2 linked regions of the Caenorhabditis elegans genome follow. The protein of the gene in region 1 interacts with the protein of each later gene in a pairwise test. Each region holds a gene or a part of one and is shown on either strand. Other genes may lie near its edges.

Evidence for each region.
Region 2: the proteins of blos-8 (region 1) and sca-1 interact in a two-hybrid assay, tested with the Caenorhabditis elegans proteins (one large-scale study listed by BioGRID).

What each region holds. Positions count from the first base shown.
Region 1 is NC_003284.9:15,429,207-15,433,703, forward strand, and holds blos-8 (BLOC-1-related complex subunit 7), read right to left. Parts: upstream 1,993-4,497; 5' UTR 1,910-1,992; coding exon 1,799-1,909; intron 1,737-1,798; coding exon 1,674-1,736; intron 1,621-1,673; coding exon 1,556-1,620; intron 947-1,555; coding exon 805-946; 3' UTR 713-804; downstream 1-712.
Region 2 is NC_003281.10:10,811,664-10,819,204, forward strand, and holds sca-1 (Calcium-transporting ATPase), read right to left. Parts: upstream 5,182-7,541; 5' UTR 5,148-5,181; coding exon 5,115-5,147; intron 5,065-5,114; coding exon 4,983-5,064; intron 4,936-4,982; coding exon 4,721-4,935; intron 4,297-4,720; coding exon 4,158-4,296; intron 4,104-4,157; coding exon 2,046-4,103; intron 1,991-2,045; coding exon 1,641-1,990; intron 1,591-1,640; coding exon 1,288-1,590; 3' UTR 869-1,287; downstream 1-868.

The DNA of each region.
Region 1 (4,497 bases):
GTACTTGCAACTTGGAAAAATAATTCATTTTGTCGACTAAAATAAATTTTTACAACTGAACAAAATTCAGTAACGCTTTTCCATAGAAACGCCACGGAAACGTCACTTATTGAGAAGTGTAGCTACTCATGTTCTTGGCGATATTTTTTTAAAGTGAAATCTGACAAAATGACTCCAGATACGAAAAATTATGAATTTTATTTTAACATCCCTGATCCTTGCATGCTAGCAACTGCTTAAGGTGAAATTATGTCGTTTTTTTAAAAATTTAAATAAATTAACAACATCAAATGCCCAAAGCGTGAATTTCATAGTGTGAATTCTCAATAAAAAAAATTTCAAATTATTTTATGCGGGTTCAAAAATTTGAAAAAAGTGCTGAATTGTAGTTGCGGTCCCGGCCGGTGAAAATTATCAAAATTTACAATCACTGAATAGTAATTTTCAAGAAATTTCAGTTTGAAATTCTGTTTTTCTAATCCATTCTCTCTATCATATGTAGAAATAAAACAATTGTCTATTAATCAGATACATTTTTTTTGGAAAAACTGTTGTTGGATCGAAGAATTGGAAAAGTTACATTAGAATAGTTTAATGAATTTTAGTTTTTTTTGTATTTAAATGACTATCATGTACTTACCAAATAACAGAGCACTTACGGGAATGCGTGAGTTCTACATTTTATTTATTTCTTCCAAAACATTTTTAAAACTTAATTAATTACACCTTTTATTTGCACTGAGATCAAATCTTTGAGATTTAAATTAGTTAAAAATTATTGTTACAATCATTACATAACGTAAATTAATTATTCGGCGGATTGGGACGTTCACCGGCGACAGAAGATGAAAAACTGTCGGCAGAAAATGACTTGGGCACCGCGCTGTAGTAGTTTTGACGTTCCACCTTTTGAAGACATTCTTGAACGTCGCATACAATATCCAATCTGAAATCCAAGATATAATACATAGAATAACACATTTTGTAGGTTTTTAAACAAAAAAACAATACAACTTTTTGATAACCTATGCTTTAAAAATTATGATTAAAGTCAGTGAATAAATTATATAATTTTTCCATTATTATTGTTTGAAACTTTTTTCAATACACTGTTCACATTCGATGCTTTTGAAAAATGCTCCATTAGACCACAATATACCATATATATCAAACAAAAAGTACTAGCCGAAAAAAATAGTGACGGCTGCGGACAGAAATACTATCTTGCAGGATTTTTTTGTACGGTGAGCTTAAATATTTGTACGGATTTGAAGGCACATTTGAATTAAACTTAAATTATCAAATTTATTCAAAATTAAAAAAGCTTCAATGCCAATAATTTAGCAAAAGTACTCCGCGAATACAAATTCCTGCGCAAGTCTTGTCAAAAAAATTGTCGACGTTGTTTTTTCACATTTTACATCGTGTTTCACACAATGATTTCTGCATTTTTTTTATATGTCATTTTGAGGTTATTTGATAAATATTAAACCAAAAATACCAAAAACGACACTCCGTCTAAATTTTTTTCAAGTATGGTTTTTTGAAAACTCACCCTTTTTCCATATCCTCAGCATTTTTGGTTACCCCGTCTACCATCTGTTCGATTTCTCGCAGAAGCTAAAAAAGGGCTTACAATTATTTTATTTAAACTTAAATTTGAAATATCTTACCTTATCCGTATTGTCTATAACTTGTTCCACATGACTAAACTGTTTTGCACTTGTGAGAAGGGTCTGGAAAATAAATAAAAATGATCGCAGTTGTTAAACACTAAAATGTTTTGAAAATCACTTACCTCCGACGCTTGAGAGCTGCTCATCGGAATCGAAAGCAAAGCTGAACCATCTGTGATGATTTCTAGAATTTTTTGAGGCAGTTTTGTTTTACTCTCCAGAGAAATGCTCATTTTGAGTTTGAATTTGTAGAGGCCTGCAGGAATCGATAATGTGCGAAGGGGGACATAGTGGTGAGGGGAGGGTGAGAGAGTGTGGAGGAGTAGAGAAAAAGAGAAGTGTAACGATGGTGCATCTTTAGACCAAAATCATAAAAGGCAAGTAACGATATTAAAATATATGATCCCGTTTGTCTACTATTGCATTTTGTATCTTGGTTCTCTCTGATTTTATCGAAAAATTGTTAATTAACAAAATATGTGCAAAATATTTTCTTTTACATTTTGATGTTGGAACATTTTTTGGAAAATTTTAGACGACCGAGATATAACCTGCTAAAGTAGAAAAATGGAGGTACAAGTTGTATAGGAAAATTACGGTTATGGAAATATAACTAGAAATTTTTATTCTCATTTAAAATTCAAAGAGCTTACATATAAACAAAGTAACATGAAAAAGCAAAGAACATGGCAAAACAATCATGAGAATGAGGTTTTAATGCTTGCAAGGAGAACCCGTAAATATACATTCTACCCTATATATTTTCCCATAGTTACATTCTCACAAATAGCGGGTTTCCCAACAAGATACCGAATTTTTCTAATTAGTAGTAGTGCATGCAATAGTATATTTCAATTGATATTTTTGACCCTAATAACAGATTTTTTTGTCGGTTTTCTAATTTAAAAATCGTAATAATAAAACATATTCCCCCCCCCCCCCCCCAATATATAAGAACTATCGTTCCAAAATGAACTACTCCCATAAGCTGTTCTCATGGTGGTTTTTTTTAATCAAGAAGATTAACGCAAAAATATAGTCTTCTTCCAAATGATTGTCAAAACATTTAAGGCTCGATCAAACGTCTTATACCAATAAATATTCATATAAAATTATTCCTAAATGAATAAACCCCTATGATTTTGGTAAAACCGCAAATTGAAAATTCTCATTACTTTTTGAACCTACCCAGAACTTGGAAAAATCACTGAGATGATTCATGTTTTTGTTTGCTTTTATCAAATATGTATAGAAATCCTCTAACCTTGGTTATGTGCTCTTGAGAGAATCTAGGATTTTTTTGCCTGCAAGCTTCTGGTTTTTGGAACACAAATGATATTCTTTTTTGCGAAAAGTTCACTGTTTGTCAGGCGTTCTTCACTTACTTAATTTATTTTTTCAAATAATTTCATAATTTAATAAATGTTGGAATGGAATGCGAGTATTTCTCAATTTTGTTGTGCTTTTTTGTTCCTGATCATAAAATTCTACGGAAATAAAATTGGAACGGTTGTTGTTTTCTTCCAATTTTTGAGCGCTTGAAAGAACACAAACTATAAGTCCGAGGCGCATCACAGAGTTCAAGTTTTTAAAAAGATTTTGCATTTCAGTTTTAGACCAATTTTGCTGGTTTCCAAAATTGAATAATTAGACTTATCCAATCTGTAGTAAAATTGCATTTACGGAAAATATTACAATGCAAGGCCGTAAGTATATTTTAAAAATTGAGTACGCCTGTGGGACTTTTTCAAACATTTAGTAATTATTTATTTTTTTGACTTGCTCACAGTAACTCATGGAGGCCAAAACCGGTTGAAAAAATTTATCCATCGTAAGGATGTTCGACAAATTTCAGCAGTTTAGATCAGCAAACAAGAATGTTTGAATGAAAGTTTGTTGGACGTGCCAAGCAATGCTTAGACCTAGGTAACTTTCGTGACCATTTTTGAAGATCACCTATTTTATTTTATTCACTATAATTTCCTTTTCACATACTACTTCGAAATTCAAAGCATTATTTTTCGTGTGGACTCTGAACCGATCGAGAACATTACAGAAGCTTATAACACTTAAGTGCTCTTAAAATAATGTTGTTTACCTTGCAGAAAATTCATCGAATACCTCCCAACAAGTATACACCTGAAATGTGCTCCACAATTGTCTTGTTGCACACAAAGTTCCCCCGTTTCCAACTATCGGCAATTCGTTGTTCCTACCTCGTCATTTTGTCTTTAAATTATCGGAACAATGGAACAAAAGAATAAGTGAGAAGTGAAAAAGAGAAAGATTCGTCTTTTTTTTGCGCTGACACTGTTGAAAATGTATGAGTGGGGTGTGAGTTGGCGGCGTCGACGAACATTGCCAAGACAAAGAAACGTTGGTCTGTGTGGTTCTTTGGTAAAACATTAACTTTTTGGTTAGTAGATAGGGTTAGGTACTCAACCACACACCAAGAATGAGGAGTTTCTCCTTTGTTCACGTTCAGATTTTTGATCGGCTTCGGCTTCTTCGTCCCGCGCCGCAATTAGTAATATTCTGTTCTCGACAGCTTATCCCATCTAAAACCCGGAAAAAGTCGGGCTCATCCTCCGAGCCGGAGACTCCGACATCACTTTTTGGAAAGAAATTACGTGTTCAAATTCAGGTTTTCGAAATGTAATGCGATTGCTGCTTCATTTGTTATTCGATTATATCGTTCCGTTCTCTGGCTCAATTATGGAAGTGTCATTTTGGTAAGTAACCCTCCCAGTACTAAACACACACTGTCATCCCTACGAAAGCACGACAAAAACAGTGCGGATGACACATGTGCCAGTGGCAG
Region 2 (7,541 bases), on another chromosome or scaffold:
CATCGATTTTTCATGTGTTTTTCACAATTTGTTAAAAATTCTGTGTTTTTAATAGTTTTATTTAACTTTTTTCAATAAATAAATATATTTTTGTCGAAAAACGATGAAAAATCAATGAAAATCCCGCACCAACAAAATTTTGGAACTACAGTACTCTACTCTTTAAAGGCGCACACCGTATCGCATTTAACAAAAACATTCTAATTGTATTTTATATTTTTCATAAAAAGAAAAGCTATAATAGTTTTGAAACTTTTTTATTTCCATCGATGGCGCACACGACACTGGAGGACAAACCAAAAATTACAATTAATATCGATTTTTAATGAGAAATGGGAGAGACAACGTACACGAATTTAGCAGAAGTTTTCTTTTTTTTTAATAGAAGAAACCTAAAGGAAATGTAATAATATTTCTAACAAATTTGTCTGATCACCGTCAACAAGAGGATATAGAAGAAAAAACAAAGAATGATGAGTTGAGCAAAGAAAAAAGATCCTAAAGATCTCTAAAAGAGATCCTTTCGATTTCGGGTCTCGAAACGAAAACGATCGCACTACAAAAGAAAAAAAATTGGAAAACTTAGAAAATATGAAAGAGTCTGAAAAATGAGATGGGCGGCGGCTGGGCTCACTCTGATTGAGGGAGCACTGTCATTTTTAGTCGCGTTTATCCTTGATTGGAGCTTCAACTGAAAATCACCAAAATTATTTCTTTTTCCAGGGAAATTTAGTTTCAAATCCTGCATTGCCATGGACGAGATCGACAGTCGACAAAATTGCACACCATTCGGTAAAGAAAAGAGGCACTCCCTGAACAGACACATTGGTTAGGTTAGAGAAAAAACAGAAGGAAGTAAGGTTTTTTAAAGGATCACTTTTATTTGTGAGCTCCTAATAGATTCACACGCAACAAAAATTAATTTAAAAAAAGGATAATAATAAATTATTATGAAAAAAGGGGAGAACAATGGGGATGTGGAGAGCGAGAGACGTAGAACTTTCAGTGGACAAGAAGGAAGGGAAACACAAAAAATTAGCAAAAAAAACATATATATTTGTAGGGAAATTGTGGCGATTTGGACAAAATACAATGAGCAACGAGGAAGAAATCCTAAAAGTAGGGAGAGGGGGGTTTACACGAAGGATTATGGATCAGTTAACACACTGCAGAGAGAAAAAGGGAAAAAGGCCCAAAATGATTAGAACAAGAAAGAGAGAGAAAATAAAGAGAAATCATCACAAGTTGTTTGAGAGGCGGTTGGTTTGGGGGTTAGAAGAACTTCAATCACAATTCGTTATGTAACTTGTCGGGCGTGACAACCGCGTCGAATTTCGACGGATCGACAGATGGACCGACGAGCGCATGGTTAATGAGCTCGGCGTACGGGCCCAACATCCACGCAAAGTAGGCGAGCGTCACAGACACCCAGGCGAGCAGCGAGATGGCACTACGTGCCTTCGCGCCGACCGTCTCCGGCTTACCGTCGATGTAGTTTCTGGCGATGAACTTGAGAATTTCATCGAGAAGGAGCACTGGCAGTGAGATCTTCAACACGGCGATCCATTCGACCCAGTTGAGAGGGGTGATCTGAAGATTTGAATTAGATGTTTCGATTAATATATGATTAATTGTGATACCTGGAAGATGGTGGCCATGATGTCAACGTAGAGAATGACAAAGTGAAGAGACATCGAAAGGGAAATGGCGGCCATCAGCCAGATGTTCTTCCATGGTGGCATCACTAAAAGCGATTGATTCTCGGAAAGTGAGTTGATGGCGTTGAGCATCTCAATGGTGACAAGCACGGACAGAGCCATGGCGTTCGGGTGATTGTCCTCGAATACGGCGCAGTCAAGATCGGCAAAGTTGTCTGGCTCGATTTCACATCTCATCCAGTGAGTGAGCTGGTAGTAGGTGATCTGTGGTCCCTCCTCGTACAACAAGAACCACCACATTGAGGCTCCGACGGTGGCAACTCCGACGTAGGCTGGAAAATTTCAATTTTAGAATTATACTTTTTTAGGGGAATTTTTTAAACGTACTTCCGACAGCAAGATATCTGAAGAAGAGCCATCCAGAGATGAGTCCATCGTTGGCTGAACGTGGATGTCTGTCCATAATGTCAAGATCTGGTGGATTGAATCCGAGAGCAGTGGCTGGAAGACCGTCAGTGACCAAGTTAACCCAGAGAAGTTGAACTGGAATGAGAGCCTCTGGAATTCCGAGTGCGGCGACCATGAAGATGGAGACGACTTCTCCGACGTTAGATGAGATGAGATATCTGATGAATTGTTTCATGTTGTTGTAAATAGCACGTCCTTCTTCGACAGCAGACACAATGGATGCGAAGTTATCGTCAGCAAGAACCATTTCAGATGCAGACTTGGCGACAGCAGTTCCTGATCCCATAGAAATTCCGATTTCGGCCTTCTTCAAAGCTGGAGCGTCGTTGACTCCGTCTCCGGTCATAGCAGTAATCTCTCCCTGGGATTGAAGGATATCGACAATCTTGGACTTGTGAGATGGCTCGACACGGGCGAAAAGCTTAGCTCTGCGGCAGGCTTCAGATTGTTGCTCTGGTGGAAGATCGTCAAATTCACGTCCAGTGTAAGCTTTTCCAGTGGTATCCTCGTTCTCTCCGAAGAGTCCGATTCTTCTTCCGATAGCCTCAGCGGTGTTCTTGTTGTCTCCGGTGATCATGATGACACGGATTCCAGCGTGGTTACAAGCCTTGATCGAGTCCGAAACTTCAGTTCTTGGGGGGTCAAGCATTCCGACGACTCCGACAAATGTGATGTCTTGTTCGTATTTGACGAATTGGGTAGAGTCTTCGAGGTTCATGTTGCTAACGCTGACTGGGGTATCGATGGTTCCGAGGGCAAGACAACGAAGGGTATCTCTTCCGGTTCCGTATTGCACGCATTGGTCAACAATCTTCTGAGTCATGGCAGAGGTGAGTGGAACCTTTTGTCCGTTAACTCTGACGTGGGTGCATCTTCCGAGAACTCCTTCTGGGGCTCCCTTCACGAACATCTTGGCTCCAGATCCTCCGGAAGCTGGGAAGCAGTAGGCGGACATGGATTTACGATCACGGGAGAACTCGAGTGTGAACTCCTTCTTCCATTTTTGTTGGATGACACGGTTGCAAACTCCTCCGAGCTCCTTTGGTGAAAGTCCGGCTTTCGAGGTTCCGAAAACATTCATCTTCTCAGCAAGAACGATAAGAGCAGTTTCAGTGGCTTCTCCGACTTTCTCGTAGATCTTCTTGGTCTCATTGTAATCAACAGATGAATCATTGCACATAGCGCAGATCATGGCCAACTCGGTGAGTGATTCGAATTCTCCAGCAGCTGGGTTGATTTCACGTCCATTGGTGGAAACCTTTCCGACTGGCTCGTAGGTGGATCCGGAGATGGCGAACTCGGTGAAGTTGATGTTGTCTCCAGAAGCTTGTCCAGCGATGAACATCTTTGACACAGACATCTGGTTGGTGGTGAGAGTTCCAGTCTTGTCAGAGCAGATAACAGATGTGCATCCAAGAGTTTCGACGGATGGAAGGGATCTTACAATAGCGTTCTTCTTGGCCATACGGCGAGTTCCGAGGGCAAGGCACGTGGTGATGACAGCTGGAAGTCCTTCTGGAATAGCAGCGACGGCAAGAGCAACGGCGATTTTGAAGTAGTAGATTGCTCCCTTAACCCATGATCCACCGTGAGCTGGATCGTTGAAATGTCCAATGTTGATAGCCCAAACAGCAACGCAAATAACAGAGATAACCTTGGAAAGTTGCTCTCCGAATTCGTCCAACTTCTGTTGAAGTGGTGTCTTCTCATTCTCGGTCTCAGCCATTTCGGTACGGATCTTTCCGATTTCAGTGGTCAATCCGGTTCCGAAGACGATTCCACGAGCCTTTCCAGATGCGACATTGGTTCCCGAGAACAGACAATTCTTCTTGTCCTGGTTAACAGCGCGTGGATCTGGCACAGAGTCGGTGTGCTTGATAACAGACACAGATTCTCCGGTGAGGATGGACTGATCGATACGGATGGTGGTGGAGTAGATCTTCACAAGACGGAGATCGGCTGGGATCTTGTCTCCGACTGAAAAATATATGGTTTAAAATTTGAAAGTTAAAAAAAAAAGTTTTTGCTAACCTGAAACTTCGACAAGATCTCCTGGCACGAGTTCCTTAGCGCGAACCATCTGAATTCCGTGGTGTCCGGATCGGATGACCTTGGCCATTTCTGGTTCGTATTCCTTGAGCGCTTCGATGGCCGATTCAGCATTTCGTTCCTGGAAAATTATGACAAATTAGATGGAAATTTGTGGCAAATTGAGGCAAATAGTGCAGCCCAATCCATCAACTATTCTATCACCCAATATCTTTTTCACATATCCCTCACTTTTTGCGTACGTAAATGCGAAGCTCATGACGCACGCCTTTCCTTCATCATTTTCTTCTTTTTTCAAAAACTTTTCGGCGCAAAGAGCATTTCTTCCGGACCGCCCGTTACACTATTTTTTCTTTAGGGACTCTTTTTCCCTATCTCTCTCACCAACAAAAACAAGTCAAAAAGACATTATTTCTCTCTCTCTCTCTCTGTGCAATCACTCCTAGTTCCTTTCTTTTGATCTACAAAAACACAGAAAACAACTGTGCTTTTTCTTCTTCTTCTTATTTTCTTTCAGCGCGTGCGCCTGTCTGTGTTGTTCCTACCTGCCACACTCCGACGGTCGCGTTGGCAATAAGAATGAGAAGGATGACGAACGGTTCGACGAACGCCGTCACTGCTTCTGTCTGATCTTCGTGCTCTTCGAAAAGGGCGAGCACAAACGAGATGATGGCGGCGAGGAGGAGAATCTTGACGAGAAGATCGTCGAATTGCTCGAGAATCAGCTCCCACAGTGATTTTCCCTCTTCGGCGGGCATTTCTGGAAAAAATTCAATTTTTAATGAGAAATCCATGTAAAAAACCAACCATTTTCTCCATATTTGTTCCTCAATGTTTCAACTTGCTGTGGAGTCAATCCCTCCGGACCCGTTCCGAAGAATTTGCACACCTGGAAAATAAATTGTATTAAAAACTAAAATTTAAAAACTATAAAAGTACCTCATTGGCGTCTTTGGCATGCGCGTCCTCCATGTTGACGGCTGTAACCCAAGTAGTTTGGTTTTATCTGAAAATTGAAAATTGAAAAAAATAAATAAAGTAAGAAATGCTAGTTTGATGATGAAAAGGAATAAGAATGAATGAAGAAGTGATAAGCGAGAGCAGGAGAGAAGAAGAAGAAGAAGATGAGGCCGCCGGTGGCAGGAGCCCGAGCACACAGCCAACACTGAGCTGTGCTGGCAGAGAGAGAGGACCCGGTGTAAAGTAAAATAAAAACATCTCTTTACGACAACGGGAAATATCAGGTTCGGCAGGGAGTAACAGGCGGAGAAACTCGAGAGATGAGGTGGCATCCGAGGAGAAATCAGACGATCTTCCCTGATATCTCTCGGCGGCTTCCCAGGCGGCGCCATCTCCCGACGACATCGCGCGCCGGGATCCTGTGTGCTCCATTCTCTGGAGCTTCTCGGCTCAAAAGATGAATAGAGAGAGAGAGACAACGGAACGAAATCAAGCAGGGATAACACATAAAATCTCGACATTGTGTGTGTGTGTGTGTGTGATATGGCACACACTGGCGGTGGTGGTGACCTTTAGTCAATCCAGTGTAATAAAAAATAAAATGAAAAACGGGGAGAAAAGATATCATGGTCCCAGTTCCAGCGAATTTTAATTCTAGACTGTCATTTTTGGAGAGAAAAGCGACGAAAATTGCGAAACTATAGGGATGTCTCGATTTTTTGTTCAAAATGATGACAAAAAACTAATTTAGATTCGGTTTTCCGGAAATGTGAGACTAGGCGAACTTTTTTCGTGATAAATCCTGGCCACTGTGACTGAAATCGTGGCGAGACCCTCAATATTTCGGGAAATTACCATATATTTCGTGTATTTTTGAAAAGAAAATTGCGAAACAACAGGATTTTCACGATTTCTTGTTGAAAATGATGACAAAAACCCATTTTAGGTCCAATTATGCGGAAATTAAACACTAGAATTTGAAATTTTATAAACTTTTAAACCAAATGAACCACTAAGACCGAGATCGTGGCGAGACCCACAAATTTCGTGTATTTTTGGCAAGAAAATTGCGAAATTACTGTAATTTCTCGATTTTCTATTAAAAATGATGAGAAAAATCTATTTTAGATTCTAAAAGACATGTAAAAGGCGGAGTTTGATGCGAAAATCTATCTCTCTCTCCCCTCCAAACCGTAAAGAACATTAATATCTTTCCCATCAATCTCGGATAAAACTTCATTATTTGGCCAACTTTTTTTCATTTCTGTTTGTAAATTCTCTCATCTTTTGCTCGGACACACACACTTTGGCAGACAGAGCGCAGCAAAAAATTGAATCGAGAAGGAAAAAATCCGTTGATCTCATATTTTGAGAAACAAGCGAGGGGTGGGAATTTTTTTTTGAATCAATTTCAACGAGACACACTCTTTCTGAATAACCAGTTTTCTTTATCAACTTTTTTTTTGATGAGAAATAGAAAATGTATGTCTGACCTAGACTTTTAGAACAAGAACTAGAACTCTCTGGCCTAAAATTTTAAAAAAATTTCCAGATAAAATCTAAATGGACGGAAAACAAGAAGGTAGAAACGTCAGGAGTGGTGTACCATTTAAAAAAAATCAATACACCAAGGGGAATAATGAGGAGTGAGTGGGGACGAAAGAGCGGGAGACTACGAACAACGATGACGTGTAGTAATACCACCGAAAGTGAGTGTGGTGTGTAGTTGCGCGTCGAATGTGGTGCATTCACGACCGCGGCATACAAGGAATCGTCGAGAACACACGAAGATGATTGTGTGCTGCTGGAGGCGGAGGTGGTGTGGAGACAACCGACCCACAAAACTGCATCACTTTTTTTTTGTGACCTACATAAATATAAAGTAAAGAAACCAAATTTTTTTTGTTACTGGGTGAAAGAGACGACGCTCTTGATAAGGCAATTCACCGTCTCAGACGTGATGTTTTTTTTTCCTGTTGGGTCAAGTGAGAGGAAGCACGGTGTGAAGAGCCGAGTGCAAATAGACAGCGGATCACTATTATCACAACAACTAATTTTACGCGGGGAGGAAAAGATAAATAGTGTTCTTTTTTCGTGTTTTTCCTTTAAAAACAAACTTCTAATTTGAGCTTTTACTCATTTCTGAAGACTTTTATTCTAAATCGGCAAATTCTTTTAATTGAGAATTTTCAAAAAAGCTTCTCGTAATTACATCTTAAGATAAATATTAAATTTAAAACAAGAATTTTTCTAGTACCCATGAATTAAGCTAGTTTTTCTAGAGTTCTTGAAAAAACTTTTGCCTATTTAGTAATTAAAAAAAATTGAAACTAATTTTTATTTTTTAAAATTTAAACTTCAAAACTAGCGGCGAATGCTGTCTAAAAAGTGTCGGCTTAAAAGGAA